Caenorhabditis elegans: one gene and its partner. The protein of the gene in region 2 purifies or fractionates together with the protein of the main gene of each other region. This does not show direct contact. Each region holds a gene or a part of one and is shown on either strand. Other genes may lie near its edges. The genes, in order: Y62H9A.3 and unc-85.

Region 1 (3,514 bases), on a different chromosome or scaffold from region 2:
ATTTCTCATTTAAACTAAAAACTTAAGCGCGTCCTACAAATTTTTCTATAAACTAGGGCTCCCATGCGGTCGCCGCGACGGCCTCACGGCGTCACCCACGCCGCATTTATAGTGAGGCGCGGACCTCCGAACGTGTCGACCGCTTGCAAACAACCACCTCTTCGCACTATGTTGCACACACACCAAGCTACTCATTTCACGCAATTTGTTGGCTTTTTGATATTTGCCAACAAATCTTTTATATGTAGTACAACGGTACCTCAATTATGAGAGGAGTCCAGTCAACAGAAATATCATAACTTGGTTCCATGGAAAAACTGCGGAAAACTAACATTTGCAAATTTGATGAGTTCACTTCCTCGTGAAAAAAACAATAGGACTTTTAGAGTGCATTCAGTAAATTGTTCTAAAGGAGCGGATGAAAAAAAAAACTGTCTTACATTCAATAAAGTACAAGTAAAACCCTTTTTAATCTAACGAATGCGAAAAGAATTATCGCACTACTTTTCTTCCATATTTGGATGATCATAGAATGAATTTCATTGTCTCATTGAAATTTAGTTAAAGTATTTTCTTTACATAATTATCCAAATTTGAACTTTTTTTTTGTTTCACATTCTGTAACAAATTTGACTTTAAACTTTATCAACCAAAAACTCGTAAAACATTTAAATAAACAGAATCATTAAAATCCTGTCAATGGTCTTGGTCCGGGAAGTTCAACGCATGTGACTTTTCGGATTGCTACTTCTCTGTCGTTGAATGATTTTCCAACAAAACTGAAATTTAGACTTTGAATATAAAAACAACAAGTTGACTTAATACGGCTCACTTTTTGTCGTCGCATTTCGCAACGTAGTCGAAATTATATCCCGATGCAAGGAGAATAGTGTCTTGAATGACGAATTCTGTCTCAAACTTGAAAGATGCGTCTGTTCCTTCCTTTTTTGCTACAAGGGCATATGGTTTTCCACTGTTTGGACAGGCGATAATGTTGTAGGTCTTCCCCTTACGCTCTACTGTTCTGTAAAAAAACAACTTTTTGAACCATTGGAAAATAATTTATAGTCAAAATGAAACAGAACAAAATTAGCCCGTGATATAATTAATTATACAAACTTTGCGAAAACTTTAGTTTTGCTCTCACATCACGAAACAATTGAACGAAAAAGTAAATGCAATATGTATATTTTTTCTATAACGAGTATTGAGAACGAAATATGTGAATGTTTCTATTTTGTCGGGTTTTATGTTTAAAACGTCTTATTTTCTCTAAAACTTTTTCCAACGTTGATCAGTTAGTTTCATTTTGCAAAAATATTCGAAAAAAAGCTAACTTATGGTATTTTTTGTGATAACTCACTTGATGTCAGCACGAGCGGTTCTGTGCTTATGAACAGAAAAGTGTTTGATTTCCTTGCATTGTTCATACTCATTTTGTTCATATACATTGTTTGGTGGTCTATACTCGTTTCCATTGGTACCGTAGTTCGTTGCAGGTGGTTGTGGCGCATATACACCTGGATATTCTGGGTAACGCTCATCTGAGTTCGATCTTGATTTTAATTCATTCTCAGAAGAATCCGATGAGTCAGAAGTAGAGTATCGATTGTTTGAATGATGTCCAGGATAGTGAGAAATTGTACCATAATCATTGTATTGGTTCGCAGATACGACGACCGCACATGCGATCACAGATAAAAAGAGAGCATACATAGTGAACAATTTCGCTGAATTGTGCGTCACCTCTACTTGATTTTATAGACGATTTTGTTGAATCGTCGACAAAGTTTAATCTGGAATATGGATCACATCACATCATACGTTTTCTAAACATATGATTCATGCGAAATCTAGACCAAATATAAAACGGTCCTCAACAGAGGAGAGCCATACATCGGTGCTCTGCCAAGATGAAATATTTTGTTTCGCTTGTATTACTTGCTGCTGTGGCTTCTGCAGAATACCAGATTGTGACATACTATTGCAATTTAAAGTATATTTATATTAATGATTACAGAACGAGAAGTCCTACTCAGGTGAAGTTGAAGTTGAAGACTACCCAAGACCAACAAAGAAACCAACGTACTCGGTGCCGGATCTAGGACCACTTCCACCAGCATCATACCCAGTTCCAAATTTCCCTAATAGTTGGCCGCTTCCGCCAGCTTCACGACTAGTTCCAATTCCACAAGAATATCCAGCTCCGTTCCCCCCAGGACCATATCCTGACTCAGAAAATGGGGGATCGTATCCACCACGCAACTATGGTGAGTTCTCAACTGTATTCTCATTTTAAAAGTTTAAACAATCAGAAGTCAAAAAATTGAAAGATCTTCGTGGTGAAAAAATTGTTGAAGCCCGTGTTAGGTGAGCAAATCCAAGTTGCAAGAAGAATTATACATTCAAATTTAGATACTACACATATGATAACACCCATTACGCCGTCATTTCATGCCCCAGAAATCCAACTCCAGGAGCATACACATGGATTTTGGTGGACTCGAAGAAAGAAATTCTACCATTTAATGTTCCTGGAACAGTAGCGTTGACAGGAGGTATCAACGTTGACTACTTAGCCAAATATGGAACTAAAGGCAAATGGGAAGGAAAAGATTTGACCAATGATAAGAAACACAGGTTCCGTCGAGTTGGATGCCTTCACGGAAATACTATGTCGTACATTCAACATTAAACTTTATCAGTTTAAACAATACATTATGAAGAAAAATAAATGTTAATTTGAGCTTTCAAAGAAAACCAATTAGTTTTGAACACAAACGGAAAAGTTAATGAAACGCTAATCGTTTCTCAAATACCCGGCGTTTAATTTTTGAAACTACTTAAAAGTACATTCCTAAGCCAAACAATAAAAGCGCATCTGTTTATACTTATAATGGAGTTGCTTTTCAAAAACAGACAGACTCTTTTCACTAAGATTCTTTTAACTTCAAGGCGCTTATTGATATTATGATCAACTAAAGGAATCAAATAATTTCATCAATTCCGTTCCGTCAGAAAACAAATAAGAAAGTTTCAGGAAATTCACCCAGATTTTTCAATAATATACGGTATTCTCCATGTGTCAATTTTATATTACATTTACAGAAAAATGGAACAATCTCCTAAAAACAATCATTTTTCACATTAAATATAGGGAGCCGGGAGGACAGAGCTATAAATTCTCAAGATGGAAATATTCATTTTCTATATACTATTTTCCACCGTTTCCCCACTCAATTTTCAATTTCTGTTGATATAATCTCCCAGTAAAAAAAACGAAAATTTTCATTTTTGAATTTCTAGCTTCATGAATAATTTATTTCAACAATCTCATTTTCAACAATGGGCTTCATTTTCTGTTTTCAATTATTAGTTGTCATAATGTTTATTTGTTTGCAAATTTGCTTTCAGTTAAACCAACCCTTCCGATTATGAAAGTGTCCCGTTGTAACTAATCTCATCCTTCAAAATAGATGTCTTTCCGGTAGTATCGGTTTTCTACTAACATAAG
Region 2 (3,883 bases):
TAATGAATTAATGTTTTATAGAAATAGTCCAGATGTTACGTCAGTGGTCTCATCATCTATACCTGATCGTCCCGAACAATGTCGTACATTGTTACTCAAAATGTGCAAGTTCGAACTTAATGGAAGATGTGAGCGGCCACGGGATTGTAAACAGTAAGTTATTCAAGTTTTAAATTGTTTATTAAACAAAAGTTTTTTCAGTCTTCATCTTCACGACGTTACTGATGCTGAACAACAAGCACAACTTCTCGAAGGCCTATTCCGCGAAGCTTTTAAATACAACGAATCCGACATAGGTTCTTCTACACGCCGATTATTCTCTGTTATACTTCCCCCCGTGTCTTTCATTGATTCCCACTCGTCCCATTGGAGGATTATCTAACTTTTCAGGTCACCCGTAGCTACCGTAATCCTCGCCCGTTTCAGAGCCGGCTGTCAAACAAACATTGCACTTTCTACCGGAATTCCGAGAATTTGAAAAGCTAATGGATCAATTCTTCAATGTGGTCATTCGTCAGACACCAGAATACAAAAGCAAGTTGTTCGCTTTTTTCGCCAATCGGCGATGAACCGGACGAGAAAATGGATAGGATGTAGTAAAAATCGAGGAAAATCAAAAGTAGAACTCGCTAGACATTTTTAAAAATTCCAGTTATTTTCTTTTTAAATCAATTTCTTTACTGAAACGGTGTGATCTCTACAAATCAAGCTGACGTTCAAACTGTCATATCAATTTGCCTGTTTATTTTACTCCGGTGTATTATATATATAGTACAATCACAATAAACCAGTTTTATATAATTCAGTTGTTTGTTTTAAGAAAAACATTGAATGAATGACACTGTACAGTTTTATTCGGAAAACATTCAAAGTGAAAATTCTTGAAAAGAAAAAAAATGAAAGAACGAATTATGTGAATTTTTGACAGTCACTGAAAATCGGGTGGGAATAAAAATAAGTTCAAAATATATAAATTAACTGGAAGTGAAATCACTGGACCATTTCGTTGTTTGTCTTGTCTGAGAGTGGCTCCGCCATCGATTCCGGAACTTTCGTGTCAGTGTTGATCTGAACGCCAGGCTCGTCATCTATAATTACAGGGTGAGAAGCACACATCACGAAACAAGAAGGGGTTAGAGAAACCAAGTAACACTTACCAGCCATATCAACATCCTCATTTGCTCCATCGTCCTCCATTTTCTCATCTGCGCCTTTCTGTTCGGCCCCGTCAAGTGCATTGGCCAATCGTTCATTGAAGCTCTCGTTCAAATCCACTTCTTCAGCGTTGGCCTCCATCTCGTCATCATCCTGAATAAAATTATTTAATTTTTGAATAAGTAAAATTCATTTTCTCACCTCTTCCTCCTCATCGTCATCTTCCTGGCCATCATCATTCAGAGGCATGAGGTCATCTTCCGCGAATACTCTGTTAGCCTCATCCTCGACAGGCTCTGCGACCGGATCCTCATCAGTCCAGCGAATCGGGAATGTGGTGATGCGAAGATCTTCAGTTTCGACTTTGCGGGAAAGCTTTTCGATGAGTGGCTGCGATGGGGGATTCTCTTTGAGCTCTTCCTCGGTGTACTCATTTGCCACGAACCATCCCATATTGATAAACTCCTGATCGTTGTACTTGCAGCGCAGGAGAAGTACGCTGACACCGACGATATCATCGACTGGGATCTTCGAGATATCCGGATGATCCGCGTCGAACACAAACTTGTGGCGTCCTTCTGGAATTGGACCAACGAGCGCTGAATCGAGAACTTGGTCAAAGTCTCGGGATGTTCCGGATCCGACGTAGACCAATTCCCATTCGAGATCTGAAAATTATCATTATTATCGATGAGTTTATATTTTCCTCTTTCTTACCATGCGGCAAGTGCTCAAAAACTTCAAATGTGATCTCCAACTTGAATTTGTCGACAAACATCGCAGGATTGTCGAGAATTTGTACTTGAACAATGTTGACACGGGAAGCCATCTGAAAGAAAAATATAATTAATTATTTAGGAGCCCACTTTTTCAAAATAAAAGACAATTCACAACAGTATTGGCATGAAACAAAATAAAACTGAAAAAAAAATCATTTTTAACAAAAAGTGTATCAATTTTAGGTAAATGAAATTGCAAAAATGAATCCGCAAATGATGAGAAAAAATGAGAAATCAAAAATTCCCGCAATTATGTAAGTTAAAATGGTGGCGATTGGCGCGTACCGGTGGAGCGCGCTTGCATTTTGTTCTCTGCGTTTCGAGGGGGTACGTTTTCGTAAGGGGATTTTTTCGTAAGGAACGCTTTCAGTAGGGCAATGTGCGGCGCGCCTTTTCGCAAGCCCGCCACACAGTCCTTCGCAATGCGCCGCACGGCTTTTTGCAATGCGCCGCACGCTTCTTCGTATTTATTTATTTATTTTTCCAACAGGAAATTTCGAACGGAATTCAATTAAAAACGGATTTTTAATGGAAATTAATTAGTTTTATTCGAGCTAAATACGGATATTTTCAGAATTTTCGATGACAAAAACGGGTTTCAATCGATTTCGAATCGATTGCGAAGGACTGTGCGGCGGGCTTGCGAAAAGGCGCGCCGCACATTGCCCTACTGAAAGCGTTCCTTACGAAAAAATCCCCTTACGAAAACGTACCCCCTCTGCGTTTCTCTTTCTGCGCGTACCCTCGTGAATGTTTCACGGTGGGCCTGAAATGCAAAAATTATTCGGAATTGCCTCAAAATTTAGTAAAATCCGTACATTTAGTCTCGAAGACATTTTCTAATGCAGCGGAGTGTCCTGTCTTGAAAGTTATGGAAAAATGTAATTTCCAGATTTTAACAGCTTTTTTAATAACGTTTACGCGTTTGTAGATGAAATTCACCAAGTTTCATAATTATGTAGTCATTTTTTCATACGAAGAAAGCGAATCTCAAATCACTTGAAACTAGATGGAATGAATGAAATTGTACACGGAAACGTTGAAGTTGAGTAGAGCCGAGTTAATCTTTTTTTTTTCGCTATTCTTCTCTCGACTAATCGGAACCTGAGCAATTAACAAGAACATTAAAACCGTGATGCTTTTTATTTACAGAAAAAGATAGTACATTCGTACTTTTCGAACAAATAATACCGCAAAAATAATATCCGTATATGAATAATCGTGGAATAAAAATAATACTTGCTTTTAAGAAAATCGAGATACCATATACAATGAAGAGGTTAAACTATGCATGGCGAGTAATAATAATAAGCTAAAACGATTAAACTGGTCTCATTGGGGTTCTCATAGTGGAATTTTCCATTGTATTTCCAAGTCCCATCGGTTTCGGAGAGCTCAGTGGACATGCTTCTTTGAAATTGGCTCCTGGACGAATTACGATCTCTCCGTATGGCTCTGATTGATCAACACTTATTGCTTGAGACTTGGCCAGGGTAAGCAACGAATAAAATTGCTCTGCAGCTTGCTTGCGATTCTTGGCAGTTGCTGTGACAGATGAGAAGTCCGCTTGTCCCGAAGTCTCAATATCCGCGGAGACTTTCTTTAGAATGTGCTTGGCGCGTTTCGCCCATTTGCCATCGTCTTCCTTGTAGGTCGAAGTATTTCCGAATCCATAGGCTTCAAGCTGGCCACGTCTGCTGGAATTTGAAGAACCGAACGGATCAGACCAATCCTCTGCGTCCTCGTTCTCTTTGTTCTGTAAAATAATATTTTAAGAGTTGAAATTCGCACCAAAAATTACCTCTCCAGCGAATCCACTCTGGATAGGGATCGGAGCACACTCTTGATGTTCTACTTCTTGTGGAAAATCGAAGTTGTCACCAAAGTCCATTTCCTGAGCTGGTTGTCTGTCATCATCATCATCCATGCGCACATCATTAAAGAATTCA

What was found.
Region 1: the proteins of unc-85 (region 2) and Y62H9A.3 fractionate together in Caenorhabditis elegans (co-fractionation; one large-scale study listed by BioGRID). This does not show direct contact.

What each region holds. Positions count from the first base shown.
Region 1 is NC_003284.9:11,878,344-11,881,857, reverse strand, and holds Y62H9A.3 (putative secreted effector protein), read left to right. Parts: upstream 1-1,886; 5' UTR 1,887-1,913; coding exon 1,914-1,973; intron 1,974-2,020; coding exon 2,021-2,270; intron 2,271-2,315; coding exon 2,316-2,370; intron 2,371-2,415; coding exon 2,416-2,695; 3' UTR 2,696-2,748; downstream 2,749-3,514. Other genes in the region: Y62H9A.4 (DUF4362 domain-containing protein), read right to left, coding at 686-779, 833-1,024, 1,364-1,716.
Region 2 is NC_003280.10:4,700,170-4,704,052, reverse strand, and holds unc-85 (putative histone chaperone asf-1), read right to left. Parts: upstream 1,985-3,883; coding exon 1,873-1,984; intron 1,824-1,872; coding exon 1,357-1,823; intron 1,309-1,356; coding exon 1,158-1,308; intron 1,089-1,157; coding exon 991-1,088; 3' UTR 834-990; downstream 1-833. Other genes in the region: F10G7.9 (C3H1-type domain-containing protein), read left to right, coding at 22-153, 202-296, 427-569; scc-1 (Sister chromatid cohesion protein 1), read right to left, coding at 3,256-3,690, 3,736-3,883. UniProt on the Caenorhabditis elegans protein: Histone chaperone that facilitates histone deposition and histone exchange and removal during nucleosome assembly and disassembly.